Linked DNA regions of Lepisosteus oculatus. The protein of the gene in region 3 interacts with the protein of the main gene of each other region in a pairwise test. Links are inferred from orthologs where the notes say so. Each region holds a gene or a part of one and is shown on either strand. Other genes may lie near its edges.

Region 1 (10,135 bases), about 880 kb from region 3:
TAAACAGCAATGCAAGACCGCGAATTGGCATCACGTAACAGACTACATTCCCAGGTATTCCCATATTGCTATCGTTGTCTGCGATTCAGAGCAAGGCAACAAAACATCCGGCGAGGTCAAGCCGCCCTACGATATTGTAAACACGCAGGCCTGCGAATACGTCTCTTTTCATCCAACAGAAATATCCCTCTGGACTTCTTGACGGTTTTGCCCACAAAAACCATTTACTTGTTATCTCTGCCTGCAGATCGCGCTGGAACATCTCTGCGGTGAAAAGTCTGCTGCACAGGGAACTCAAATGCGGGTTTGTAACAACGTGGTAACTTACAGTCCTTTCATCAAGTTCATCGCGATTTTGTGCTCAATTCAAAGTTTGTAAACTTCTTCTATAGCGTCAACAAACCTGTTACTGAGACTAAATAACTGGTTTGAAACATTGGGACTGCAGCGCCCCATTAAAGCCAGCACAGAGAGGGCAGACGTGACATGAGTCCTGCAGTGTGGGGACAGGGGCAGACTGTCAGACCAACACTCAGGGACACAACTCAGGCAGGCCAACTACAGCCACTCCTTGTACCTCATGTTTACATTTGGTGTGACCTCTTCCCTTCCATCCCTTAACACGTCTGAGAAGCCGCGCACGTGACACGGCGCATAGCACGGCCACGAACAGACACCCCGGGCGCTGTGACTTACAATGGGGCCGTCGCCGCGCTCCAGGTAGGGCTGGTGGTTGATGTGCACGATCGCGGGCAGCAGGTACTGCAGGACAAACACAGAAACAAAGGGCACTGAAGTATGAGCTCCGAGCGCCTCGCCACCGGCCAACACATCAACAAGCCCCAAGGCGAGCCCCGCTGCTCTGCGGAGCTCCGAGCTCCAGCCAACCGCGGGGCAGGGCGCGGGGACGCAGGGGGAGGAGTCTTACCGACAGGGTTTTGCCAGAGCCGGTCTGGGCGATGCCCACCATGTCTCTGCCGCTCAGCGCCAGGGGGAAGCCCTGCGCCTGGATGGCCGTGGGCTCCACGAAGTTCTGCTGCACCAGCACGTCTATCACGTACTCTGTGGGGGAGCGAGGGAGGCGTGAGGCTACTGCACTGCTGTCCGACAGCCCGTCAACTCAAGGAGTCAACTCCGTTAAACAGCTAATTCAAATCGATTACACACTTTGGCGACTGGCTGCATCAAAAGCCACGTGCTGAAAGAGGCTGGGAGGGCCGGTGCCAAAGGCACCCGAATACCACCCACGTATTTACGACCACGAGCCACTTGAGTTTTACTTTGGAAGTAAGAGACGGCGTCCTAAGCTACAGCAGTTTCGAACCGCTTGAACGCGACGGTGGTGACGATACTCACGGGGGAACTGCGCCTGGTGGAAGCTGGTGACGGGCTTGGGGCACCCAGTGCCCCGAATCGTGATCTCCTTCTTCCGGCGAAACTCGTCCACGTCAAACTGCGGGGGGGACAGAGGGGGGGGGAAGGGGAGATTAGCGGGATGGTCATGCCGCAGCGGACTTGCTCTTCGTGGGAGACGGATCACCTCCAGGAGCACCAGCCCCTCTTACACTTAAAACAATTTAAGGTGGATATAACATGACCATCCACAAATCATCAGCCTTTTATTGAAACTGCTCTAATTTTTACCCTCGTCTGCTGGTTTGGGAATACGACTCTGAGGAGGGAGGACAAACTGGGGAGTTTTGTCAGACAGGTTCTGTTCTCTCAGCCCAGTCCCATGTCTAAGTCAGGAGTCTAGCATGAAGCACATCCGACCCAAGAGGACCCTTCAAACCCTTGAACCAATTTCATTTACCCCCCTCAGAACGCAGACACAATCCGAAAACAAACAGCTTTCAGCCTTCATGTACACCCTGCTCAGCTGGTGATTCTCCTGCCCATGTCTGTGTTGTATTGCTTGTGGGTGTGTTTTCTCACTTATCTGCTGCTGAGGGAAAAATACCCCTTGACTTGGGCTCAGGCCCACCCGGTGCAACACGGCACTGAAATAAAAGCAGAGCGAGCTCCTACACTCAAGGTGTGAGCTGCCACGTGCTGCTCAGAAATGCTGCAACAGCTCACCCTGCATCAGGGCTCCATAACTGCTACAATCTCGGTTTTGGCACCGATGGCTCCCAGTCTCAGCTTCTTAACCCTAATCCCTCGTGAACTGGGGTCACTCTTAATCACTTAATGCTCCTGAACAAACAACCATTTCAAATGACCTACGAGCAGATTAAACCTCAAAACTTTCCGGGACCCCGAAAACAAAATTTCGAAGACCTAATTAATCGAATTGACATTTAAGGCAAAGGCATCGAAGAGGGGAATCGCAGGGACCAGGGCTGGGAAATTTTTATGCTCCGCTATTTCGCTGCAGTTGGCTCACCAATAAGGCAAAATGCCTGCTGAAGCTTTCACGTTAAAATACCACTTTGGCGACGAGATTAAGACAAGGAGACTCAAGCAGGGAGCTGCATCAGTACATGCTGGCAGCACAAGGAACAAGTACTGATGAGTCCCACACTGAAAATCAGAAAGAGGACAACGTTTTCAGGCTCGGGCGTCGCCTGAAGAGGGCTCCACACTCCAAGCGCGTTTCGGCGTGGAACTGGCCTTTGCCCTGCTCATGAAAGCGAAGAGCCCCCCCAGCAGCACCCCCGGGACACCAGCGTGCCCCGGGACCGCGGCCCTGCGCGTTCACGGAAGCGGGCGCGCCGCCGCACCTGGGTCAGGCGCGCCACCTCCGGGTGCTCGGTGTAGAAGTTCTTCTCGAACTTGGGCAGCTCCTCCAGGTCCCACTTCTTCTTCCTCAGGCGCTCCCCGGGGTTCCCGAACTTCTTGGTGGGAGGGGGCCCGCCCCGGCTGGACCCGAACCGAGGCCTGGGGGTGAGGGGGGGACAGGCAGAGAGTTTAGGAAGCGGGCGCCGGAGAGAAACAGCCCGGCGCGCTCCTAACCCCCCAGAACCGGGTTCTCCGAACACGAACAGACCCGAGGTGGGGTTTTAACACACACACACACGGGGCACAGAAAGGTTTGCGAGTTCACTTATACTAGCTGCCATACCAGCGTCTCGCTTTTCGAGAGCGTCTGAGGTTCAGCACAACCAAGCTAAAAATAAAGCGTTATGGTCGATATTTTTGTTTTTTTTAAAAAAAAAAAACTAAATCGACAGGGACGTCTTACCATCACTGTGCGACACATTTCAGTAAAAAAAAGATAAAGCAATGTTGTTGTTTTTTTAATGCGGTAGATTTAGCCTGGTCTCCTGGTCGGCCGCAGACAGCGGGGGGGTGATGTGTCTTTCCAAGCCTGGTTACATAATCCAGTTTTTTTTAGTTCAGAAATGGTTTCCCACCTTTAAAAAACAATTTTACGCTCACTCCCACCGAGATCACGCAACTCGCGTTTGGCAACACCACCACCACCACCCCCCACTAACACGCAGGACCCCCCCACGGGCCGTCTCCCCACAGAGACCAACCAGCCCCGGCGTTTCCAGCGAATACAGGCCGCTAAGACACCCCACACGAGAAGAAATGGAGGTTTTTCTCACCCTCGGTCCCTTCCACGGTCCCGGTCTCTGTCTCCGTATGACGAACCGCCCCTCATCTTCCACACAAACCAACACAACAACAACAACAACAAGGGCGCCTCTGCTCCGGCGAGCGTCGGGCTGGGTCTTCAACAGCCGCCACCGGGAAAACTACCGTCGCCTCCAATTCCCGAAACCGGGGGTTTAAATCCGTTGAAGAGCCGAATACCGAAAGGCGGTGTGGAAAATATATATCAGCTCTATATAAACAGCGAGTTTTGTGTCTTCAAAACACGAAGGCACCCTCGGCCTGCCCGTCTCGTTTACGAACAGCCCGAAACGAAACCGTGTTTTGCGTTTAAAGAAAAAAAGTAACGTTTTTTTCTTTCTCTAGACAAAAAAAACGCTAGATAACGAGTATGGGTGGATGTTTTGTTTTTGGATTTTTTTTTTTGCGATAACCGCGTAAAGTTGGCTTGATCTCCCCCCGGCTCTGCGAAAGCTGCCTGCCGACACAGGACAAAATGGCGGACAGAAAAACAGCGGTGCGTGCGCAGGGCCGCGGGAGCGCGCCGCAGCTACGTCGCGCAGTGGGCGTAGAGAAGGTTCTGGAATACGGGGGGGCGCCCGTCGGAGAGGCGGGGCCTCTGCGTGCGCGCCGGGGGGCCGCGACGCCGTTTGCGCAGCCGGCCACGTGATCGCCCCCCCTCGCTGCAGAGACGGGGCGCTAGACTTTGGACCTTCTCTATTGACAGCCCCTTCTCTTAATTAACCCGGGTGCTGAAGATCACTTAGAGACTTGAGGATTAGCAGGAGTAGAGATTTACAGAGGTTGACCAACCCATGGGCTTAGAAGCTGAGGTGTGTCTTCTGGTTTAAGAGAAGATCAGATCAGATCACTTTATTAGCCATGTACAATTTCTTGGATTAGGAATTTGTCTTGTGGATTACGAATTTTCGCAGACCCCAGCTTGCTCTCCATGAGACACACAGACGGGGAGAGAAGCTGGGGGTCAGAGCGCAGGGTCAGCCATTTATACAGCACCCCTGGAGCAGCTGGGGTTGAGGGCCTTGCTCGGGGGCCCAACAGAGTAGGATTCCTCTGCCGGCCGTGGGATTTGAACCGGCAACGGCAGATCCTGAGCCACAGAGCCACCACACAGTCCCAGGTTGGTTTGCGGTCCGACCTGAGCAGCCAGTTTAACAATTAACGTAATTATTTCCTCACTTAAGACACACATGGGATGTTTCTTTCACAGTTGGTAACTCAAAACGTGCAGCTTTCTACAGGTGCACGTAGCTGTAAGACTCTTTGGACCCGGGTGAGGGATATCAGAGCCCCACAGTTCAATGATTAGACCCGCTGTGTAGGCAACAGTTAATGTGTTCTCTGCCCTCAACAGCTTCCATACCGAATTAGTTCAGAACGGCAGAGACAGGGAGTTATTTCACAAACGGCACCAAAAGGGAACAAGTTTTCCTCCCTGTCGAAATAATAAAAACAGATGACATCCCGTCCCCTGTCTGTCCCTCCACTGAACACAGGTGCACCGACGGTATAAACCATTTTATTCTCCTGGCGAACAATCTGCGCTTCAGAAACACACAGATCAATCAGGCTTCGGAAGCGAGGGCTCGCTGGTGCCCACGAACACAGGGAACAGCGTCTGTCTCGTCACTCCACTGACAGCCCTCGGGATGGGGGTCCCCCTGCGCCCCCCTCCTCCTTCCTCTCCCTCCCAGTGGCTCCTTCACTCCTTGGCGTCTGCCACCCCGCCCGGAGTGATGGAGAACGTGGCCTCGTTCTCTGGCAAATCGGGGCTAGGGAACGAGACGGGAGAGCGCCCGTTACTGCCCGGCTCTGGGACCGCCGGCGGCCGAGGAGAGATTAGCGACAGCGACGTTTTCGAAGCCGCGGGGGGCCTGTGGAATTCGGGGAGGGGGGTGGGGTTCCCGTGTGTTGGTGTAGTGCGGGGGTCCCCAGTCCCGGCTGGCCAGTGTGTCTCCTGGGTTTCCTGAAGAGCTGTGAGGAGCTGTTTAATGGGTCCAATCAAGCTGATAACAAGCTGCTTTGTGCTGTTACCAGCCCAGCTGAACTGAAAATCTGCAGTCCCCCCAGGACCGGGACTGGGGACCCCTGGTGTTGACGCACTGTCCCCCCCAGGAGCAAGACTGGGGACCCCTGGTGTAGACACACTGTCCCCCCAGAACTGGGACTGGGGACCCCTGGTGTAGACACACTGCTCCCCCAGGAGCAAGACTGGGGACCCCTGGTGTAGACACACTGCTCCCCCAGGAGCAAGACTGGGGACCCCTGGTGTAGACACACTGTCCCCCCAGGAGCAAGACTGGGGACCCCTGGTGTAGACACACTGTCCCCCCAGGACCGGGACTGGGGACCCCTGGTGTAGACACACTGTCTCCCCAGAACTGGGACTGGGGACCCCTGGTGTAGACACACTGTCCCCCCAGAACTGGGACTGGGGACCCCTGGTGTAGACACACTAGCTCCCCCAGGACTGGGACTGGGGACCCCTGGTGTAGACACACTGCCCCCCCAGGACTGGGACTGGGGAGCCCTGCTGTAGACACACTGTCCCCCCAGGACTGGGACTGGGGACCCCTGCTGTAGACACACTGTCCCCCCAGGACTGGGACTGGGGACCCCTGCACCGGTATTTTCCTGCGCTGTCCCGGCACGCTGCCTCGTCGTACCTGTCGTAGATCTTAGCGATGCGCATCTCGCCCCTCCCCTTCCTGAGGCTGATGCGCGTCGTGGAGGCGTGCGCCAGGATGTGCCCGCCAATCGGCTTCTTCGGATCTGCCTGGAACCTGAGACGGACACAGCAGCCCCCCAATCAGAGCGGCGGCCGCGAGTCACACGAGTCAGAGGCACAGGGGTGAGTGGGAAGAGTCCCCCTGCCCTGCCCGTCCCACGCTCACTCGGGGACCTCCTGCAGGACTCCAGTGACTCAGCCGGGTGAGACAGCGTCCCTCTCCAGTCTACTCACGTCATGCCGGCGCCGGGGTCCGCCGTCATCTGATTGGTCACGAACACGGCCACGTTGTACTCTGACACAGAGCAAACACGATAGATTAAACGCAGGTTCAGGCCCCGGGTTCCCCGAGCGCGGGCGAGCGAGGGGCGCACCTTCGGAGATCTTCTGGAGCCGGGAGAGCATCTGCGCCAGCTTCTGCTGCCTCTCGGCCAGCTCGCCGCGGCCGGAGAAGTCCACCCGGAACAGCGCCATGATGGAGTCCACGATCTGCGGGGGGAGAGAGAGCAAACGAGCGAGAGCCGCGACCAGGGGACACACGGACCTCGCCCCGCCCCGCGGCGGCGTCTTCCAGCCCCGAAGAGCCCCGCTCCTCAGACACGAAGGTTTGAAGGCTTCAGGTTAAAAATAAAAGGGATTTCGTGAAAGGGGCGAGAGGGAGGGGGCAGGTCGTCTCACCAGCAGCTTGAAGACGCCGCCCTCCTCGTGGAACTTGGCCGCCACGAAGTCCAGCAGCTCCATCTGGTGCTCACCTGTGAACGGGGGGCACACGTCAAGACACTCGCCGGCCCCCCGAAACGCAGCCCGGTCCTGGACCCGGGGTACCCCTGCGTTCCCGCTGGGCCCTCAGTCACCAGGGCTAACTGGCGCCAGAAAGCGATCTGCTGTCTGCTGTTATTCTGCACCCTGAAGGCGAACGACTGGAAGTGCACTTTTTTACAAGACAATGCTGCTACATCTGAGCCTAAAACAGGTCAGCGTGACAGCCCCAGGTGTGCGTGGGTTAAGAGTTAAAAAGTTATCGTCTAGACCCAGGCTCTGGGACGGCCCTTACTGGTGTAGGCCCGAGCGTACAGCACGTTGTCCAGCACGGCGTCGTGGTCCACATTGAACCTGTCGGCGATGTCCCTCAGTCTGTCTGGCCGGCTGGCAGCGCCCTCGGGCTAAGGAGCTCAACAGGCAAGGCTGTTCCCGGACAGGACTGGGAAACACACGACACTCCCAGGACAGGACTGGGAAACACACGCCAGGCGGGCCACACCCTGAACGCCTGCCCATCACAGGACACACACACACACCAGGGCCAGTTTTCCCAATAGTCAATTAACCTATTAAGATGTCTTTGGACTCTGGAAGGAAACCAGAGCACCTGCTGGACACCACCGTGAACACAGGGAGAACTCCTCACAGACAGAACTCCTCCAGAACCGAACCCAGGGCCCCAGTACTGTGCGGCAGCGATGCTAACGACTGAGCCACCCGTGACACGCCGACCAGAACCGCACACAGTACCCCAGAACTCGCCCTCGCGGTCAGGGCTGGCAGGAGCCCGGAAGGATACAAGGTGTTCTCCGTGTCGATGAAGATGACTTTCCCTCCGGAGTATCCGTCCTCTCCCGGGAGCTGCGCCGTCACTGCGGGAACGAGTCCGAGCGCAGACGACAGTGACGGGAAAGACTCAGAGCGCGGCGCGACGCGGCACCGAACACGGCCGCTTTGTAACATTTCTTCCGTTTTTATCGTCACAAACAGAAACATCTTTACAAAAAAAACAGATTCCAGCCACACGAAAGACTAAAAAACAATCGAATTTCAATATTATTACAATACCCAGATTGATTTTCAGTTCTCGATTGAAATGGAAAAACCCCTTGTGGTTCAAAGGAGTTTTTTACATTTTAACACGGATCACGACTGCCCTCATGTAGGCGTGTAGATGAAAGGAGTTTATCCCTCCTTGACCACTCCTGCAGCGACAGTACTCACCGCACAGAGTGTGGGAGAGCTGCGTCTTTCCCGTCCGGAATTCTGTAAAAACACAATCCAACAAGGGAAACTCCAACCGGATACAGAGTAAAGGGCGCTGGGGCCCGTCACTGTATCATCATACTGTACATCTGTGTATCACAGCTTCAACAGCTATTTCACATAATTCACCTTCTCTTACAGCACTACGGCTTAACACTGTCTTGTTTTGCATAAATCATGTTCAGCTGTGGCTCAGTTCACTGTATTATAACATCTATCACTGTATTCCTGGCTCAGTCACTGTATTCTGGGCTCAGTTACAACATTACAGCTTCTTTCACTGTATTATATCTTCAGGCCATGGCTGTTTCACAGCATTAAAGCTCTGGACATCAATCATAAAGGCAACATATCATGGCAGGCAGCAGGTAGAGTGCGAGAGCTGTACAGTCTGGCTGGATGACCTTCTGCGGTGCAGTCTGAGCCCCGACTGCGCGGTATGGACCCCAGGGAGCCCGCCGGCCGACTCACCCCCGAAGGCCTCAGTGATGGCCATGCTCTCTATCCCTCCCCCCAGCAGCTTGCTGCAAGGACAGAGAGAGGAGGGCAGTGAGAGGACAAGACCGACGCGTTCCTGTCGGTTCCTGTATGGAGCTCCGGTGCGCACAGGGCTCTGGTCAGTACAGAGCTCCGGTCCGCACAGGGCTCTGGTCAGTACAGAGCTCCGGTCCGCACAGGGCTCTGGTCAGTACAGAGCTCCGGTCCGCACAGGGCTCTGGTCAGTACAGAGCTCCGGTCTGTACAAGCTCTGGTCAGTACAGAGCTCCGGTCTGTACAAGCTCTGGTCAGTACAGAGCTCCGGTCCACACAGGGCTCTGGTCAGTACAGGGCTCTGGTCAGTCCAGAGCTCCAGTCTGTACAAGGCTGGCTGGACACCATGGATAGCACAGCACTCCGCTCTGCACAGGATTTGCACAGGCAGGGTAAGTGCAGGGTAGGGGGCGCAGTTTGAAATAATTACACATTAAAATGGAAAAAGCGATCTGGCATAGGATCTGTACAGCATGTACACCTCTTTTCCCCTGTTCTGTGCTTGAATTAAATACAACTACAATGGGAAGACCTCTCACTCCCTGCTGCTGATGAAAAACCGAAATGAACGCAGAGGCTGGAAAGCGGGGAGCAAGGGGATGCCTGTGAGAGTGTGGGGGCGCGAGGGGTGACCCCACTCCGCTCTTAACTCAAACTCCGCGCTGCCGGTGCTGATGTGGAACACCTGCTTCCTCTTCTCACTGTACTGGTAGGCCGTCACGAAACCCTTCTCCTGCAACACATGCACACACAGGGCAGCGGTCAGCACAGGGCTGGCTGGACACTGCGGTCAGCACAGACCTCTGGTCTGCACAGGGCTGGCTGGACACTGCATTCAGCACAGGCCTCTGGTCTGCACAGGGCTGGCTGGACACTGCATTCAGCACAGGCCTCTGGTCTGCACAGGGCTGGCTGGACACTGCGGTCAGCACAGGCCTCTGGTCAGCACAGGCCTGGCTGGACATCACGGTCAGCACAGCTCTTGCCGGACACTGCAGACAACACGGAGCTGCGGTCAGCACAGGGCTGGACACTGCGGCCAGCACAGCACTCTGGTCTGCACAGGGCAGGGGGCACCACGTCCGGAGCATCAGTCCCCTGGCCGCGGCTCTCACCAGCATCTTCCCAGCAGCCTCCTTGATCTTGTCCACCTTGGCCTCCGACAGGCCCTTGACGTTGCAGAGCGCCTTGCGCGTGGTCATCTGGATGCCCTTCACCGTGCAGATCCCCACCGCCTTCAGCTTCTTGATGTCGGCCATGTTCTGG
Region 2 (10,158 bases), on a different chromosome or scaffold from region 3:
GTTTTTTGCTAGATATTTGGCTTAATATAAATACCCTCTAACTTTTCATAACTATATTTATCCCCCTAATATAGCAATAACTTAATTAGAATAACAATATCCTACACAGTGACAAAGTGGTAAGCATTACTGCCTTACAGTGCTGGGGCCCTAATTTCAATTCCAGATCTAGGGTGCTGTCTGCATGGTTTCCTCCCGCAGACCAAAGACATACTAGCAGGTAACTTGGCTTCTGGTGTGAGTGTGCGCTGTGATGATCTGGTATCCGGTCCAGACTGTATTCTGCCTTGCACCTGTTGCTTGCCGGGGCAGGCTCTGGCTCCCCCTCAACCCTGAACTGGATGAAGTGGTTAGAAAATGAGTGGATACCTAACCCAATCTTTGTGATTATATTGCACTTCACCGCATTCAAAACATTTTTGGCTGTGGAAGAGACCGAAGAAACCCAAGGTACATATCTTTGCCATTACCTGGGTATACATTTCCTTGAAGGGGTTCTTGCATGAAAAGAAATCCAGGTCAATATCCAGAATGTAAGCATCTGTTTGCTGGATAACTGGGAGGATTCGTTTCACGGGGTCTGTTTCCGAGTCCAGTTTGATTTTTGAAAGGCAGCTGGTAGAAGATCCTCTGCTGGGCTGTGCTATTTCTCCATGGCCACTGCTACTTGTGGTGGACTTGCTGCCCCCTGCTGGTTCCACACTCATGTCTGCAGGTGTCTTCTTTGCCAAGGACTCAACTTCATCCAGCCCACCCGAAGGCTGTAATTTAGGTCTTTTAGCAGCGCACTCCACGGTTTCCTCCTCTTGCTTCCAAGCATTTTCCACTGGGATAACTCTGACAACATGCAGCTGTAAAGGCTTCTTATTTTCTAGCTGATCTTCAGGGACATAGAGCCCATCGCTTAAAAAATAATCATCTTTACTCGTCACCCTGAGACACACAGAAAAAAAATGTGAAGGTTTCTTGTTATATTGTTCAGCAGAGGACGAGGTATGAGCCACTGCAACATGAAGAATGAACTTATCTCTCACTATATTGTGCATGCATCATCGTGATTAACAGGAAAAAGTGCTAAGAAAACCTGTGTCAAGATGAAGAGTAAGCTCAATGTTGCGCTAACAGTTGTTTAGAAATTATGTTATGGACCAGTAAGTGTACTGAGAAACCATGGAGCACAATCATGAGGCCGTGTAGCTGAATATGCATTTGAACGAGAAAATCTTGTGAGCCCATCATCTAAAATTGTTTTAAGGGTTTCCTCAGAAGATTATGGGACAAGCTCAAATACCAAATGAAAGAGCAACAAAAAACAGACTGACGAAAAGTAAAAAGTCAGGCAGAAAGAAAAACCTGGCATTATGAAAAACAAAGAGCGTTAGAGATAAAAAGGCAAATAAATAAAAAAAAGTAAAGTAATTTGTGATGTATGTCATGTCATTTGCCAAACCGCTTTTTATACCATATGTCCATTTTCCACATTTCCATTGAAAATAAACACTTACACATCCAGCCATTAACATGTGACATTTCGAGATGTATTATTGATGAACTAACTGGTTGAAACAGTGAATTCTAGCCATATTCTAATGTATTAGTAGCACAATGGTTATTGTACATTTAACCAGCAATCACATAGCCTACATAGCCGATATAAAACAATGCCAAATCAACATGTTGTACTATGAATTTACCTGATTGTTGTTGTAGAGGAATCCTTCCCAACCGACATATTGTGCTCCCCCTCTGTAATCTGTTGTGCCCAGGAAGGGTGAAGCCATAGGACATTAGATAAATGCCCTGCATACACCATGGGCATAATCCAATTCTCAATACTTAGCTCACTGGAAAGATATTAAAATATCAGATAATGTTTAAGACTAAAATTCAAGGGGACAGATTAATGGCTTTTTTCCCCTAAGAATTTATGCCTACTTATTACAGAGCTCCTCGGGTCGTGGCAAACATTACTGAACTACAGACTCCAGCAAACAAAATATATCAGGTATTATAACTCAGCTTTAAACGTTAAAAGCTTTGTGGAAAGAAAGTCATGAAATACAAAATACTTGAATGCACTTAATTCAATACCGTGAAACAAAAATGAAATTGTTATTTGAAATGAGTCATTGAAAAAAATCCGATATAGACCCCTTAGTCTTCTGCTACAGTCGCCAAGTTGTGGTAGCGATAGAAATAAAGTGGGAGAGTACTAAGAAAGCAGTGGCATTTAAAAAAAACAGCAAAGATTAGAAAGGAATGTCTTATTTTACTTTCTTGCTAGAATTCTTCGAACAGGTGATGAACATAGTAGAGAAGCCTTGATTTAAAAGGGTCAGGTAGAGGTTCATTCGCTGCTAAAAGGTAGGGAAAGAAAAACAACACTTGGTCTGTGGAGCCTTCTTCAGGTGTGAAGGAGGGAGAGAAAGTACAGTAGCAGATCAATATGGCATAGCAGGACAAAACAACAGAGTAGGTGAAAGGGACGGGGAGCAGTTGGGAAATGGGCATAAAGCAGGTGAGAATGAAACTAGAGGATAACAGGATGAGAGGTGTGGAAAGCCTAAATGATTAATTTAGTAGCAAACAGTACAAAATATTTAGATATCCAGAAAGATTTTATAAAGAGACTTATACAAATTCATGAACTACACAGACACAAGGCTAATTTCATTTAAAATTAATATTAATATGTGCAAGCAATTGACACTTCTTAAAAGGAACACACTATTTAACTTAATATTGCATGGGTGATTCGGTCCCACAGCAAGCTAAAAGCAGAGCGGCAGGGTGGCGCAGTGGTAAGCATGACTGCCTCGTAGTGCTTGGGGTCCTGAGTTCAATTTTGAACCTGGGGTGCTATCGGCATGGAGTTTGTATGTTCTGCACGTGTTTGCGTGGGTTCCCTCTGGGTGTGACAGTTTCCTTCCAAGGGCATACTGGTAGGTTAATTGGCATCCAGGAAAATTGGCCCTAGATGTGAGTGTGCGTCCTGCGATGGACTGGCACCCAGTCCAAGATGTACCCTCCTTTGAGCCTGCTGCTTGCTGGGATAGGTTCTGGCTCTATGGAAACCCTGAATTGGAAGAAGCTGTTAGAAATTGGATAATGGGACACATGGACAGACAATCAGTGTTCGGATCAGGAGAGAAGAGACAGCGAGAGACATATGTTCTTTTTTTTTTTCCTCGCACAGCTATCAAACCACAGGTAAGATGTTCATGAAAAAACAACCATCATGTTCATTATCATGTTTGTTCCTGCAATCCTTTCAGAATATCTGTGACCAATGAACACATCTTACCTAAACAGCTCTTCTTTGTCGAACACGGTGTCAGCAGGCATGTTGACAGGAATAAGCAGGTCGGGGTGGGAATCTAAATGGATCATTTTGATGTTCTTTATAGGTAAATGTCTGGAGCCAATGGCGCGATAGATGTGAGGTAGCACCTGTATTAGAATAAAGTGCAGAGATTGCAATTGCGGTTTGTAAAACGAGCAACGTGATCTGTCAACTGTCGGCTTTCCCATAATTGTACTTTGTTACAACAGTGTAGCATTAATAGTACTGTTTATTCTTCGGGAAAATAGCTGGTAATGTCCAAAATGTATTTTTTTATTCGCATTTTATTTTTGTGAGGGTCTTAAACTATAACTATATATATATATTACATGAATTTACCCGGAACACTTACAGGATTGATTAAACAAAACTGACCACAGTTCGCAGTGTATATACATGAGGCTATAAATAGCATAAATACATATTGATGACAATATTCCTCTTTGTACAGTCTTCGGTATTCATTATACTACAGGGTTAAGACTGTATTTTACAATCAACTATTGCTTTCAATTTGCAATTCGTATTCTGAAAGCTGGATATATTAAGGCTGTAAGCAGGGAAAGGAAACGCAGACAATTAGATTAAAAAAAAGTGAAACTGGTACTCACATCATGATGATCTTCCACTATCCAGACGGGGACATCTTTATAAACTCTACTTGGCGCTTGAGTGGAATTCATACCACCTCCTCAAAAAAAAGAAAAAAGAAAAAACAAACCACTTGCTCTCTGCCTGCCTGCAGTTTATTTTAGCCTTGTTGACGGGGGACCCGTCTCAGTGTAACACACGCCGTTTCCTAGCCGCGATTGGTGGAGCTGTCCCGTCTCTGCAAGCGATTGGGCCGAAGTCGTCCGTCTCGGTCTTTTGCGCCGCGATGAAACACGTTGCCTTCACTTATGCTTCCCCGGTTGTTTAAATCTTAAAACATCTTTCCAGTTTCCCTTGTCTCATGAAGGCAGCGGCTAGATTTATGCGTTGCTAGGAATACATGGTACAGAGTCGAGAAGCTAAAAAACTGAAAAGCTGTTGTTTTAAAGTGATTGCGTGTTACAAACCGGAATATGCCAGTCGTCGCATCCGCTCAGAGGAAAGGAAGGCGAGCCGATATCAACAGGGATCATTTCCTGTTGAGATTATGGTGCTGAGCTTGAAGCGGCGATACACATGTAAAATGTAGGGTAATGACCAAACTTTTTATCTTGCTAGCAACAATTCTTTTAGGTAAATCGTTTTAACTCTTCTTGGAGACTGGCGATCGTTGTCTTTTGTTCTAAACATTTTATCGTTAAAGGTAAGTTTCTGTAACATGCAGCTTTGAATTTCTTTATACCGTTGTATGCTTTGGTAAAAAAAAAACGTAAAAAACGTGCAAGCGATAGGCTAGTTTGTCTCGGTTATATTAAGAACTGAACAGGCTACAATATCTCAGGCTACAATAATGTTTTTCCCCCCATGTTGTCAATTTGAACGAATTTATGTTATTTACCTATACAAGTCAGATGGTGCAGTCACGAAACACACAGCATTGTTGACGGTATTTTTATTTTATATATAAAAAAATCTTGCTCATAATTATTTATGGCGCTTTTAAACAGCAAATCATACTGATACACAACGATGCCGGACATCGGTAGCAGTCCCACACTTTAAATGGGCACGATGAAATACGTCAATATAGAAATCCAGCATCAACTTTTATTCTTTTTTTGCGTCGTATTTAACATACAGTATGCACTTCAGCCATTTAAACTTATAGACCACTTCATTGAAATATTTGATTGATTCGATGTTTAACCTTTTTTTTCGCATTTTGGCTAGAGACTCACATACGGGCAGCCTTTTGTGTGTCGTTTCCATGAATTACAGTGATACCATCACATCTTTGATGCCATACAGGATGTAGACTTAAATATGATCAGCTTTATGCCTGCCATTTCCACGAAATACAGTGATCAAAACTCCGTTTTAACTTGGTTTAAAACTGTTGCTCTCCCGTTGCTTTCTAAACAGCTCTTATTGTTTGTCAGTTAACAATGCGCAGACAGAATTGGGAATGATACTGTCAAGCACTCTGATTAAAAAAAAAAAAGAGGCATTCCTATTGCTGCGTAGGTCTGTTCATTAGGTTTAACCAAATAATTGAAAATACATTAGTGTGTGGGGAATCGAAACAGATTTGGGCACCAGTTTCATTCTTATTTCTAACAGTGTTCAGTCTAAAAATAAAGATGATCTTTTATTTCACACTGCTTTATAGACTTATCCTCTATATATTCTCTATATATCTACATGAAGATCTCAACATTTTGGTCTAGTTAGCAGTTTTTATGTATAACTAGTGCAGTGCAGTCCATCATAGAATCTTTTTGTTGAATTGCGTTTGTTGAAACCTTTTATTGTTGACTTTCTTGACTGCTGTTACTACCATTAGTGAGATGTAATGCTTGTTGTTTTTGTGTTGTTTTTGCCTCTCTTTAAGAATCAAGATGTCATTCCATCTTGGGCGCGGCTGTCCCAGGGGACGAGTCTCCTCCGGTCAGCGGGGGGGATCGCAGAGCTACCGGCCGCAGAACCTGCGCCAGATTCCTCCGCAGCAGTCCATGCCTTCCTTCCATTACGAGCCGCCGCCGCCGCCTTCGTGCCCCGGATATCCCAGTCAGGGCAGCCCTGGCTACATACCTCCGCGTCCCGATTTCATGCCGTACCCCCCGCCGGTGCCCTCCCAGGGTCAGAGTGCGCTGAACCAGTGCCCGGTTCGCCCCCCCTTCCCCAACCCCCCGATTCGGCAGGGGTTTCCCGGACCCCCGAACTTCCCCCCTCCACCCCTGCCGAACTCGTCCGCCAGCCTGTTGCCCGGACCGGCGGCCTCAGCTCAAGGCTCCTACCACTACATGATGCCCTCGGTGCCGCCGCTGCCGCCGCCCCCGCCCCTGCCGCCCCCACACCCCCCTGCGCCCCCCTCCATGTCGCAGCCCCTGGGCTACCAGCCTCCCTACTCCATGAGCTACCCCCAGCCCCCGTTCCCGCCGCCCGGCTTCGGCGGCGGCGCGGGCTACGGCCCGGGCTCCGGCTCGTTCAAGGCCGACCAGTTCCGGCACGGCGGCCAGTACAAGCCGGAGAAGCCCCAGAGCGACCGGAGGTCGCCGGAGAGGAGCAGGCGGCACGAGGAGCGCCGGCACAGGGGCTACAGCTACGGCGGCCACGGCGACAGGTACAGGCCGGAATACGGCGGGGACCGTAGGGACCGGGGGCGGAGCCCGGACAGGCGGAGGCAGGAAGGGAGCCGCCACAGGTCCGAGCATGAGCGAGGCAGGACGCCGCCTCGGCACAGGAGTCGGGAACGTAGCAGGTAAGTTGAGCTCGACTGGCACGTGCACATCGTCGACGCATGGATATCCTTTAAATGCGCACACTGAAATGCATCAGTGTTGAAACCCAGGGCCCGCTTTTATTCATTTTATGTATCGGATTTAAAATATAGCATGCACGAGCTAAAATGTGACCCAGACCTATAGGGTTGTGTAATGTAAGTGTCTTTCATTGTTTCATAACGAGCTAAGAGGTCCCCTGTCTCTTCTAATTCTAGACTTCTTATAGGACACTTGATGTTTTGAACAAGTACTTGTACTTGATGTATAGAATATGTGATGTTTCTCTTTCCTGCGATTTTCTCCAACACATCCATCAGAATAGATTGTTATAGTGTAATATATCTGTAATAGATTGAGTTGTAATTGTTCAAGTTCTTATAAACTGCCTTGGTAGAAAAGATGTGATCCCTCCTCTCCAGGATTCAGATATGAAGGGCTTACAAGTAATATTTATTAAGTATCACTTATTTTGCAAGTGATGCATGTCCTGATCATGCCAAATAGGGGAATGTGCAATCAGAATTTCAGTATTTCAGGATTTTGATTGCTTTCACCACAATTTCAAAGTCACAAATTTCCTTCCTTTTATTTAAGTCCAAAAAAGGTAAATCCTTCATTTCTTTCTGACCACATTCTAATGGACTACTAAATGTAGTCAGGCTTTTTAAGACTACTGGTATTGAATGACTTCCGTATACTGCATCTTCTCTAAATAACATAGTTGTACTGCAGTACAGTGCCAGATAATTTCCATGGTTGATATCTTTATTAAGCACTTTTCTCAGAGCTCTTGTACTGCCCTGCCGGAAGAGCGTTATCCAACTCTGCAGGAAAGCAACCTCTGGGGTGGTGCTTGACAGCACTTTTGTGAACACAGCTGAAGCTGACTTGATTTATGTAATTTGTCTCCTTTTAATTTTAAAATGTTTTTTTAGAAACAAAAATCTTCATCATGTACAGTTAAACAAATGAGAATGTATTATTAATACATCCCCAAACAAACAAAATACAGTGGGAAAATTAATACTGTGTTTGCTGATGGGTTATTTCACACTCTTCTCACTACGTGGGACATTATAGAGATTAGGAAGAGATTTTGAGATTATCACAATGATTGTGTTGTTTTAATTAGACAGTCAAATATGCATTTCAGAAAATAATACAACTCTGTGTTTAATTTTAGGGATAGGCATCGGCACAGAGAAAGCAGGAGATCACCTTCTACTGAAAGGCCACACAGGAAAGACTACAAGAGGCCCAGGAGGTGGTATTGTGGTTTTAAACTCACTGTTGTCTACATTCTCTTTATCTATGTCAGTATTAACAATGTGCCACAAGGTGTTGGCTTTTCAAAATCCAAGTTTTAAAACCGTTCGCTAGATGTTCTTTTTTTCCACTATTTGCATCATTACAGGAAAGGAGGGAAGATTGATTCACATTCCAAATATGATTCATATCATATTCATTCCAGATATGATTTAACCCAAATAAAGAGAATTGTTTTAATGAGGAATGATATTCAATATTATAGAGTCGCCTGGGGTGAAAAAATCCAATTAAAAAATAAGAATTGTCTTAAATCCTTTTAGGACAATGTTGATTTTCCTCCCAGGAAAATGAAAGAGATTCAAGAAAGACTCTTGAGAAAGCAAAAGAGATAACTCAGAACTGCAGATTGTTTGATGTTAAAGTTCCAGTTTTGGCTTATAAAGGAGTGAACCACAAGTATTTGTTTGATTCACTGTTTCTCGGATCATCCCGAATTTTATTTTGTGATAATTGGTGCCATAGCTCACGGAGTCGCTCTAGCAGTCGGGACAGGAAGAGAATGCGCTGGGAAGACGACAGAGAGAGGAGGATGGATAGTCAGGCAGGTAACAGAGAGAGGAGCTACTCCTTTATGAAGAGCAAAGAGCCGGAAGAGACTCCTGCCGAGAGAATGGAAGATGAAAAAGAGGAGGAGGAGCTTCTCAAGCCTGCCTGGATTCGTTGCACTCATGCTGAGAACTACTACTCCAATGATCCAATGGACCAGGTGGTATGTATGACACCAGCTGGCATCAAAGCAGACCCGAGATTCTCGGAAGGGCTCCTGCTTCGATTATTCTATATAAAATCATCCGAAGTTCAACTTGTCAAAGCGTTACGTTTAAGGAACATAGGTAATGAAATGCAGTTAGGTTGTTTCTGGAGTGGCAAGGCAAAATACTCCAGGCAAAACTGTTCCAACTTCACCTCACTTATATGGGTGAAACTTATGTGAAATTTGTATCCTACTTAATGGATTAAGACCGAGCTCTCCAGATGTTTTCATGCCCCTGATGAAATGGGAAGAAAAAAACATGTAACAGAGCAGGTGCATCAAAGAACTTGTGACTTTGATGTGGTTTGAGTTAAGAGCTGCATCAGTGTGCGACCAACAGAGGAACAAATAGAGGTTAGTTCCACGCTGACAAGTAGATAAACACAGTGTTATGGCTTTTGAGCCTTCTTCTGGTGTGGGCTTGACATCTTTGCAGCAGTTAAGCAAATGTAACAGACAGACAAAAACATATTTTTTGCAGACTATCCAGTTGCGAGAAGATTGGTGGTGTGTTTAGTTTCTTGTTTTTTTTTTATTAAGCAGGTATGTTTTTCTTAATTGCTTCTAGATTCTAGTAGTAAATTAGACTTGTGTTTGTGCTAGAGGTCACTAGGAAGCAGAGATGACAGTTATATGTTTACATTTTTTAATAATTTAAAATTACCTTCCTCAATTAAACTTTTTGGCAAATAATCAAATAATATTACAAATGCAGTATTTGAGTAATTATTCTTGTAGACATGCATTTCTAAGCCTGGAAGAGGTCTTGAGACTTAATTGGATATGTTTAACCCTGCTGCACTGGATTACAACTGCTACCCATTGAATGCGACCTACAAAACCTTTTGAATGATTCTCCTTAAGAATTTGGGGAACCATCTTAAAATAAAACAGCAGACCATTTCTTATTCTCCTGAAGCATAAATATATGCCAGGAACACTAAATCAATGAGCAATTCAGCAATTCATTTTTTAGATTCGTCAGGCCCAGAGCACAATTTGTTTTTCAACAGGGTGACTCCACTGTCGTTGGAACAAGCAAACTACGTGATCTCTATGACCGGTTTGAGGAAGAACTGGTTAAGAGACAAGAGCGTGCAAAGGCAGCAAGACCTGAATGGGAACCACCAAAAACAAAACTGGATGAAGATCTAGGTACTGTATAATATTGGCAAAAATCCAAATTACGTAAAGAAGCTGGTTAGATTTCGCCAAACTTTGTAATTTGAATGAAAAATAATGGTATTTTGCAGTAATGTTTCTATGGTTTTGAAAATGCTTTATGACTTTGCTGTGTAATTAACGGAGAAGTATATCAAAGAAGCATTTGATTTTCCTCTGGCCTCTTTTGGTTTAAC
Region 3 (10,462 bases):
GGTCTTCTTCAGGATGGAGGGCGGCTGGGCTCCCGGCAGCGGGATGTCCTGGATCAGGATGCTGGAGGGGGCATGAGGCATGTCCGGCAGAGGAATACTGTCCACCTCCACCAGCTCGGCATTCTGGGACAGAGACAGGAGCAGCAGGGGACGTGAGCGTGAGGAACGTGGTCGTGTCTCCTGTTGTCCAGTGTCAGTAATGGACACAGTCCAGCACAGGCAGCTGGCCCTGCTCCGAGACACACACAGTCCAGTACAGACAGCTGGCCCTGCTCCGAGACACACAGTCCAGTACAGACAGCTGGCCCCGCTCCGAGACACACACAGTCCAGTACAGACAGCTGGCCCCGCTCCGAGACACACAGTCCAGTACAGACAGCTGGCCCCGCTCCGAGACACACACAGTCCAGTACAGACAGCTGGCCCCGCTCCGAGACACACACAGTCCAGTACAGACAGCTGGCCCCGCTCCGAGACACACACAGTCCAGTACAGACAGCTGGCCCTGCTCCGAGAGACACACACAGTCCAGTACAGACAGCTGGCCCTGCTCCGAGACACACACAGTCCAGTACAGACAGCTGGCCCTGCTCCGAGACACACACAGTCCAGTACAGACAGCTGGCCCTGCTCCGAGACACACACAGTCCAGTACAGACAGCTGGCCCTGCTCCGAGACACACACAGTCCAGTACAGACAGCTGGCCCTGCTCCGAGACACACACAGGCCAGTACAGACAGCTGACCCCGCTCCGAGAGAGACACACACAGTCCAGTACAGACAGCTGGCCCTGCTCCGAGACACACACAGTCCAGTACAGACAGCTGGCCCTGCTCCGAGACACACAGTCCAGTACAGACAGCTGGCCCCGCTCCGAGACACACACAGGCCAGTACAGACAGCTGGCCCCGCTCCGAGACACACACAGTCCAGCACAGGCAGCTGGCCCTGCTCCGAGACACACACAGTCCAGTACAGACAGCTGGCCCTGCTCCGAGACACACAGTCCAGTACAGACAGCTGGCCCCGCTCCGAGACACACACAGGCCAGTACAGACAGCTGGCCCCGCTCCGAGAGAGACACACACAGTCCAGTACAGACAGCTGGCCCTGCTCCGAGACACACACAGTCCAGTACAGACAGCTGGCCCCGCTCCGAGACACACACAGTCCAGTACAGACAGCTGGCCCCGCTCCGAGACACACACAGTCCAGTACAGACAGCTGGCCCCGCTCCGAGACACACACAGTCCAGTACAGACAGCTGGCCCCGCTCCGAGACACACACAGTCCAGTACAGACAGCTGGCCCTGCTCCGAGACACACAGACCTTGACAGAGTCGAAGTAGAGAGACAGCTGGCCCCGCTTGGTCTCGTACTCGTGCTCCAGGCGGCGCAGCTCGCGGTACGTGTCCGGGTTCTCCTTCTCGTACAGGCGCACGATCCGCTCAAAGGTCTCGCGCAGCTTCTTCCTCTTGTCCCGCAGAACCTTCTCGTTCAGCAGCGGCACCTGGACCGGGTTAAACTCTGAGAGAGACGGACCGGGTCACACACGGAAACAGAGACCGGGTCTCTCTCTCACACAGAAAGATCAGGTCAGGCAGAGAGAGTGAAGGCACTCAGGCCATTCTACACGATAAGAAGGCTCTTCAATATTAACCCAACAACAAGAATCTGGCTCCAGTATTTCAAAGGGTAACCCAGCCCATTGCCCTATACTGCAGTGAAGTGTGGGGTCCCCTAACAACAGGTACAGGGCCGAATAAGGCCAGTACCCACTATTGATAAACACAGAAAAGAATATTAAAGTATTGGCGACACCTAAGAAACAGCGACCAAAACTTCTACTCCTATTCAGTCTGTGATCTCCTGTCCCAGCCTGAGGAACAGACAGTGAGCCTGTCTCTCAATAATAATAATACAGTGTGTGATCTCCTGTCCCAGCCTGAGGAACAGACAGTGAGCCCGCCTCTCAATAATAATAATACAGTGTGTGATCTTCTGTCCCAGCCTGAGGAACAGACAGTGAGTCTGTCTCTCAATAATAATAATACAGTGTGTGATCTCCTGTCACAGCCTGAGGAACAGACAGTGAGCCTGTCTCTCAATAATAATTGTGTGTGTGATCTCCTGTCCCAGCCTGAGGAAAAGACAGTGAGCCTGTCTCTCAATAATAATAATACAGTGTGTGATCTCCTGTCCCAGCCTGAGGAACAGACAGTGAGCCTGTCTCTCAATAATAATACAGTGTGTGATCTCATGTCGCAGCCTGAGGAACAGACAGTGAGCCTGTCTCTCAATAATAATAATACAGTGTGTGATCTGTCCCAGCCTGAGGAACAGATAGCGAGCCTGTCTCTCAGTAATAAATAATAATAATAATAATAATACAGTGTGTGACACAAGAGACTGTCAGGCAGTTAGTGATTAACTAGGACTAGTTAATTAACACATCATTACCCATCTCATCCAGTTTCTCCATGTCTCTGATGATCTGTCTGGGGTCCTTCATTTTCAGCACTGCTGCTCGGACCATCATCCTCTGCTTCTTGTTCTGGAGAGAGGAGAGGAGAGGGGTTCACAGAGGCAAGGAGAGAGAGAGACAGACAGGAGAGAATGGCAGACACTCCAGACAGTCTCACCTTTTTCAGCTCCCTCTTCCGGGCCTCCTTCCCTGCAGAGGACAGGAAGGGACAGTGTCAGATAAGCCAGAGTGTCCAGTTCGCATCCCAGCCCCATTGATACCAGTGTAATGCCAGCATAACGCTATTACAGTGGACACAGCTGTACTCACGGGCCTGGTCAGTGGACAGTATAACGTTATTACAGTGGACACAGCTGTACTCACGGGCCTGGTCAGTGGACAGTATAACGTTATTACAGTGGACACAGCTGTACTCACGAGCCTGGTCAGTGGACAGTATAACGTTATTACAGTGGACACAGCTGTACTCAAGGGCCTGGTCAGTGGACAGTATAACGTTATTACAGTGGACACAGCTGTACTCAAGGGCCTGGTCAGTGGACAGTATAACATTATTACAGTGGACACAGCTGTACTCAAGGGCCTGGTCAGTGGACAGTATAACATTATTACAGTGGACACAGCTGTACTCAAGGGCCTGGTCAGTGGACAGTATAACGTTATTACAGTGGACACAGCTGTACTCAAGGGCCTGGTCAGCGGACAGTATAATGTTATTACAGTGGACACAGCTGTACTCAAGGGCCTGGTCAGTGGACAGTATAATGTTATTACAGTGGACAGGAGCTGTACTCACGAGCCTGGTCAGTGGGGTTCATGAATTTCCCACTCTTGGTGGAGGACGTCGATCTTCGCCCCATGGTGGCGCTGTCTCCCTCTCACCCTGAAACACAGAGAAGGGCAGTCAGCTCTTGAGGACCTGGAGACGCTCCAACAGACACAGACACTCCCAGACCATCACAGACCCCCAAACCTGCTGCAGGAAAGCCCCTCAAGCCCGTGTGTGGACACAAGACGACCTGCCTGTCTTCCAGTGTCCTTGCTTCACGCTACAGGCGCTCTCGTGCGGGATCAGTGTGGTCTGGCAGCAGGGGTGATCAGGCCAGCCCAGTCCATCACTGGGGTACAGCTCCCCACTGCTGTGGACATGTTTACACCTCGCGGTCTCAGGAAGGCGGGGAGTAATGCTAAGGACACCAGCCTTCCCTCTGGTGAGAGTTATAGGAGCAGAGAGGCACGAATCCCCGGGTCCGGAGACAGTTTCTTCCCACAGGCTGCCAGACTCCTGAACTCTGCCCCTACCACTGCCTCACACTGCCTGTGCCGTGTGTTGCCGTGTGTTGTTGCTGCTGCTGTTGCAACGTTTTAACTGCTGCTGCTGCTGTTTCAACGTTTGGCGTTTCCTTAACGTCTCTGCACTGGCGCACACATGCAGAGAAGCACTGCCCTGCACTTGTGAAAAAGATGGATAAACCGGACTGAGAGCCGAGGACGGAGAAGCACACGCACGGTCTAGAGACCGGAGACACTGACCCAGACGCGAACACGGATCCAGAGGCAGACCTTGCTTCTTCCAGAGCACCGGCCGTTCCGTGAAGCCAAGATCCGGTAATCACCGGGAGCGGGTTTTGAGCCCCGGGTCCCTTATCAAACACTCGCGCGCTGTGTTTACTGCCTGGATTCAAATGAGCCCTTAGCGCTACCGGCCGCCATCTTCGCCCGCCATCGCCGGAAAATACGTCACGTCCGCGCTTCCTGAGGCCGTGTACCCTCATCATGTGACAGGGGCCTCCCTCGTTTTCAATTTCAGCTTTCTTGATTAAGATTAAGATCACCTTATTGGCCATATATAATTTCTTGCATTAGGAATTTGTCTTTTCACAAAGCTCAGCCTGCTCTCCATGAGACACACAGACAGGGAGAGAAGCTGGGGGTCAGAGCGCAGGGTCAGCCATTTATACAGCACCCCTGGAGCAGTGGGGGTTAAGGGCCTTGCTCAGGGGCCAACGGAGCAGGATTCCTCTGCCGGTTGCGGGATTTGAACCGGCAACCTTCCGGTCACAGGCACAGATCCTTAGCCACAGAGCACCACCCCAAAAGAACTGCTCCAGGTGAGGCACAAACTCACAACCTTGCATTGCTCTGCTCTGTGCTGTTATATCAGTATTGCATGCTAACCGATGGCTCTCCCTATTCTCCATCATAATCGTGTGCGTGGGTATAAACACACCCCAGACCCTTGACTCTTTTCTACCCCTTTTCTGAGTTTTTATGTATTGCAGCTGTCTCTGCAATAAACAGAGCTGTGTTCAGAATCCAGCGTATTGACGACTGACTGGGATTTGATTGGGACTGGGGTGAAGACAGGGGTTGTATTGTATGCATGGCTGTGGGCTGTACACACATCACAGAGGGAGATCTCACGAAGCCAGATTACTCAGTCTGCAGGGCATTACTGCCGCTGAGATTTAGAGATGGCCTTTCACCGTTTCAGCAGAGTAAACCTTACATTCACGATCTCTTAAACCCGCACACTGTTAATACTGCTTGTTGCAGCTCAGTGTGAGCAGAAACTCAAACTGCTGGTCGGGCTGAGCACAGCGCTTCAGTATATCACAGTGTGCCCTGCAGTGAGGAAAGTGGTGTTTGCACTGAAACGGTTCAGAAGGTTTCCTGGCTGTACATTAGTGCAAATCATCAAGCGGGGGTTTCATGAACTAGCTGGTAATGTTCTCATATCTAATTCTGTCCACTGCGAATGTAGTTCTGTTCTCTGTAGCTCTGCACTGTGATCTAAACATTTCTTACAGCAATTTCCTGATGTAATACACTCTCTGGACTGTGCAGACAACCTCATTAAATACTCCACAGGGCACAACTAGGCTGATTTTTAATAGGAAATCAATTCACACCATCTGAAAATAAAATTAGAGCCTACAACATATAGACATTTCTACCTGGCTTAAGACTTTCTGCATCCGGGTGGGGGGGACTCCCACCTGTGCTACTTAATTCACAACAATGTTGGGAAAAGGAAATATCCCGGTACCGGAAAACAGCCTTTATTGAGTTGATGATGGTGATGATTCCTCCGGCTCCAGTCTTACTCTCCTGTTGCTCAAATCAGGACACACTTCCACTCCGAGGAGGGCGCCGCACTGTACAGGAGCCCTGCGGCCCCCCCCCAACAGCCCAGCGAGCGGAAACACATCCAGACAATAGTGTACAAGTGTGAAGCCCTCCAGCCTCAGGCAGAGCCCCACGTCAGTGCCATCCTCCTGCCAGCACCTGCCTGCGTTTATCTGGACACCTGTCACCTCCGGGTTGGATTGATCTGCGATTCCTTGCCAGGCGTCTTCTCTGGCTCCTGCAGAGCTCCAGGGTGCCGTAGCTCCACTCTATCCCAGCGCTTCCTTCAGGAGCTGTAGCTCCTGGTCCCGCATGCAGACTGTTGCTGTCGCCTGAACCCTCTAACTGGACTGTAACCGGATAACTGAAGCCTGAGTTCACCTGAACGCAGCTGTAAGGTGAAGTCTACCGGGATGATTTGAGAAATCCTGAATTAGTTAAACCTGCTTTATGAATGTATTTACCCAGATATATACTCACACACAACTTACCCTGACACACATGTACACACACATACACCCAGATCTATACACACACAGCCTGACACACATGTACACCCAGATATATATACACACACACAACTTACCCTGACACACATATACACACACATACACCCAGATATACACACACACACCTACCCTGACACACATATACACCCAGATATACACACACACACCTACCCTGACACACATATACACCCAGATATACACACACACACCTACCCTGACACACATATACACCCAGATATACACACACACCTACCCTGACACACATATACACCCAGATATATACACACACACACTTACCCTGACACACATATACACCCAGATATATATATATACACACACAGCCTGACACACATATACACACACATACACCCAGATATATAAACACACAGCCTGACACACACACACACAGCCTGACACACATATACACACACATACACCCAGATATATACACACACCTCCTGACACACACAGACCCACATACACACCTCCTGACACACACAGACCCAGATACACACCTCCTGACACACACATAGACCCAGATACACACCTCCTGACACACACAGACCCAGATACACACCTCCTGACACACACATAGACCCAGATACACACCTCCTGACACACACAGACCCAGATACACACATCTCCTGACACACACAGACCCACATACACACACCTCCTGACACACACAGACCCAGATACACACACCTCCTGACACACACAGACCCACATACACACACCTCCTGACACACACACGCCCAGATACGCACACCTCCTGACACACACATACACTCACCCTGACAATCATACACACCTCCTGACACACACACAGACCCAGATACACACACACCTCCTGACACACACAGACCCAGATACACACCTCCTGACACACACACGCCCAGATACACACCTCCTGACACACACAGACCCACAAACATACACCTCCTGACACACACATACACTCACCCTGACAATCATACACACCTCCTGACACACACATAGACCCAGATACGCACACCTCCTGACACACACATAGACCCAGATACACACACCTCCTGACACACACACACACGCACGGCTGACAGACACAGGGAGAGAGAGGTGCTCTGGAAGTGTTTATTTCGGCTTGCTTGGAGCCCGGCGGCGCACAGCAGGATGTTCAGGCGGCGCGGCGCGGCCCGGTCACGTGACACGGCAGGTCACACGAGACGTCAACACGCAGTCGGCAGACCCGAGTCGGAATCTTATACTCCGGATCCCATTCCTAACTGCTTCAGCTTATACCAACTGGACTAACATAAACATACTGTAGAAATACTATACATCCAGAAAAAAACTTTCCTGGAAGAAGAGGCACTTATGTATAAATTCTTCTCTTTAACAGGAGGACTTTCGCGTTTGTTCAGATACAGTTTGTCGGTTCATAGGCAGATGTTCTTCACGTGTGGCCCCGCTCCAGTCTTGAAAGGGTTAATTCTCACTGATGGGCGTGGCTTCACCAGGACTGGGCGGGGCTACGTCCTCTTGGGGGCGTGGTCTAGTAGGGGATTGGTCCGTAGTACTGGGTGTAGGCGGCGACGATTCCGGCGGTCTCGGCCATGTGCTCACAGGCCAGGTTGACTTCACACACCTCCCGCAGGCTGGAGAGAGAGGGAGACGAGTAGATGATGCACACTCGGCCCACCCGGGCCTGTCCCCTCCCCCTGCCCCCCTCAGGCGAGCACACGGCCCCTCACCTCTCCAGCTGCTGCAGCGACAGTCCGGCGCCGCCAGCGCCCCCTGCGGCACCCCCTGCAGCCCCGATGTTCCTCTTCAGTCTCTTGACGAAGGAGGAGGCCAGGTCTCTCTTCACAAACACTTCTGCAACACGGCAAGAACATGCCAGGTCACACAGAACCTGCCTCACTGCGCTGTTCCCTCTAAAATATAATCAGGGCTCCCACTGACACACCCTGGCTCCTCCCCTCCTCCCACTGACACACCCTGGCTCCTCCCCTCCTCCCACTGACACACCCTGACTCCTCCCTCTCCCTCCCTCTCTGACACACCCTGACTCCTCCCCTTCCCCCTTTGAAACACCCCGACTCCTCCCTCTCTCCCTTCTGACACACCCTGACTCCTCCCTCTCTCCCTTCTGACACACCCTGACTCCTCCCTCTCCTTCCCTCTCTGACACACCCTGACTCCTCCCATGTCTGCTGAGCCCAGTGGGCGGGAGAGGCAGGAGGACCCCAGCATGTAGGAGGATTCTCACCTTCTGTGCTATGAGAATCCGGGGCGCTGACAGAGACATCGGAGTCTGGAATTTAAAGATAGGATCAGAAAGTTCAGCCTCAAGAGTCTGTACATGTGTGTGTGCAGTTTATCCAGTAAAAGTCTCGACGGACATAAGATGAACAAGCACACAGACAGGTACACAGACAGGTGGACAGACTCACCTCCAGCGGACAGACTCACAGACAGACAGGCAGGCACACCGACAGATACACAGAAACACAGACAGACTCACCTCCACTGGACTGACACACAGACATATAAACACAAACACACAGACTCACCTCCAGTGGATAGACACACAGACAGATAGACACACAGACAGACAAACACACCTCCAGTGGACAGACACACAGACAGACTCACCTCCAGTGGACAGACACAAAGACATATAGACACAGACAGACAGACACATGGACAGATAGACTCACCTCCAGTGGACAGACACACAGACAGACAGACAGACTCACCTCCAGTGGACAGACACAAAGACATTTAGACACAGACAGACAGACACATGGACAGATAGACAGACAGACAGATAGACTCACCTCCAGTGGACAGACAGACAGACAGACAGACAGACTCACATCCAGTGGACAGACACACAGACAGACAGACAGACTCACCCCCAGTGGACAGACACACAGACAGACAGACAGACAGACTCACCCCCAGTGGACAGACACACAGACAGACAGATAGACTCACCTCCAGTGGACAGACACACAGACAGACAGACAGACAGACAGACAGACTCACCCCCAGTGGACAGACACACAGACAGACAGACAGACAGACAGACAGACTCACCTCCAGTGGACAGACACACAGACAGACAGACAGACAGATAGACTCACCCCCAGTGGACAGACACACAGACAGACAGATAGACTCACCTCCAGTGGACAGACACACAGACACACAGACAGACACACAGACAGACAGATAGACTCACCTCCAGTGGACAGACACACAGACAGATAGACAGACAGACATACAGATAGACTCACCTCCAGTGGACAGACACACAGACAGACAGACAGACTCACCCCCAGTGGACAGACACACAGCTGTCAGGGCACACAGCACGAGGACGGTCAGGGTCTTCATCTTGTCTTGCTGTTTCAGTGAGGTGAACAGTGTGGTTGTCTCTTCCTGCCACCCTGTTTATAGCTCTGTTCCCAGCCCGCCTTGGGGGACACGCTGCCTGCGGATTGGCCGGCAGCTGCGACACCCCTGGACACAGCCCGGACACGCCCTCTCCCTCCTCCTCACCGCGGACAAGGCAGCTGTCGTTCCGGGCGCGGCCGCCAGATGGCGGTGTGCCCCGGCTGCGCGGGCGATGCGCACTCGTCTGCGGCTCGTGAACCCGCTGACCGCGCGCGGCGGCCCCCCTCCTCCCCGGGCCAGCGTGTCGCCCTCAGCAGCGTGTCTGTGGGTCTCGAGGAACGGAGCTTCTCTGAGTGACACCAGCTGTGCTGCAGAGCCGTACTGTTTAGAAAAGTAAATCACACCCTGACATTTCTGATCCGCACTACTGTATAATTCACTGCTACAGGGAACCTTATTAACCTGTGAAAAACATAAACAGGTGCTTATGTCAATGTCGGTGTACAAAAGTGTGTGTATTAACCCCCTTCTCTCTCAGTGCAGTGTCAGTGTACAGTAGTGTGCAGGAGGAGTGTGTGTATTAACCCCTCTCTCTCAGTGCAGTGTCAGTGTACAGTAGTGTGCAGGAGGAGTGTGTGTATTAACCCCCTTCTCTCTTAGTGCAGTGTCAGTGTACAGTAGTGTGCAGGAGGAGTGTGTGTATTAACCCCCTTCTCTCTCAGTGCAGTGTCAGTGTACAGTAGTGTGCAGGAGGAGTGTGTGTATTAACCCCTCTCTCTCAGTGCAGTGTCAGTGTACAGTAGTGTGCAGGAGGAGTGTGTGTATTAACCCCTCTCTCTCTCTCAGTGCAGTGTCAGTGTACAGTAGTGTGCAGGAGGAGTGTGTGTATTAACCCCTCTCTCTCTCTCAGTGCAGTGTCAGTGTACAGTAGTGTGCAGGAGGAGTGTGTGTATT

The links.
Region 1: the proteins of wbp11 (region 3) and ddx17 interact in a two-hybrid assay, tested with the Homo sapiens proteins (3 studies listed by BioGRID and IntAct). The link is inferred for Lepisosteus oculatus from reciprocal best matches to the Homo sapiens genes WBP11 and DDX17.
Region 2: the proteins of wbp11 (region 3) and c6h5orf22 interact in binary tests that used the Homo sapiens proteins (3 or more experiments, as listed by UniProt). The two-hybrid records come from large-scale screens. The link is inferred for Lepisosteus oculatus from reciprocal best matches to the Homo sapiens genes WBP11 and C5orf22.

Annotation. Positions count from the first base shown.
Region 1 is NC_090707.1:38,634,245-38,644,379, reverse strand, and holds the start of ddx17 (probable ATP-dependent RNA helicase DDX17), read right to left. Parts: upstream 4,073-10,135; 5' UTR 3,611-4,072; coding exon 3,555-3,610; intron 2,881-3,554; coding exon 2,724-2,880; intron 1,454-2,723; coding exon 1,357-1,453; intron 1,063-1,356; coding exon 929-1,062; intron 763-928; coding exon 697-762; intron 1-696. Other genes in the region: dmc1 (meiotic recombination protein DMC1/LIM15 homolog), read right to left, coding at 5,285-5,354, 6,249-6,365, 6,545-6,605, 6,685-6,799, 6,989-7,062, 7,365-7,456, 7,872-7,944, 8,297-8,338 and 3 more. UniProt on the Homo sapiens protein: As an RNA helicase, unwinds RNA and alters RNA structures through ATP binding and hydrolysis.
Region 2 is NC_090701.1:6,468,228-6,478,385, forward strand, and holds the start of c6h5orf22 (UPF0489 protein C5orf22 homolog), read right to left. Parts: upstream 4,209-10,158; 5' UTR 4,027-4,208; coding exon 3,955-4,026; intron 3,451-3,954; coding exon 3,305-3,450; intron 1,845-3,304; coding exon 1,695-1,844; intron 934-1,694; coding exon 471-933; intron 1-470. Other genes in the region: drosha (ribonuclease 3), read left to right, coding at 5,833-6,695, 7,901-7,981, 8,509-8,755, 9,814-9,955.
Region 3 is NC_090707.1:39,512,517-39,522,978, forward strand, and holds the start of wbp11 (WW domain-binding protein 11), read right to left. Parts: upstream 4,236-10,462; 5' UTR 4,020-4,235; intron 3,370-4,019; 5' UTR 3,347-3,369; coding exon 3,283-3,346; intron 2,676-3,282; coding exon 2,644-2,675; intron 2,556-2,643; coding exon 2,462-2,555; intron 1,529-2,461; coding exon 1,332-1,528; intron 124-1,331; coding exon 1-123. Other genes in the region: bglap (osteocalcin), read right to left, coding at 7,659-7,761, 7,858-7,981, 8,376-8,420, 9,448-9,508. UniProt on the Homo sapiens protein: Activates pre-mRNA splicing. May inhibit PP1 phosphatase activity.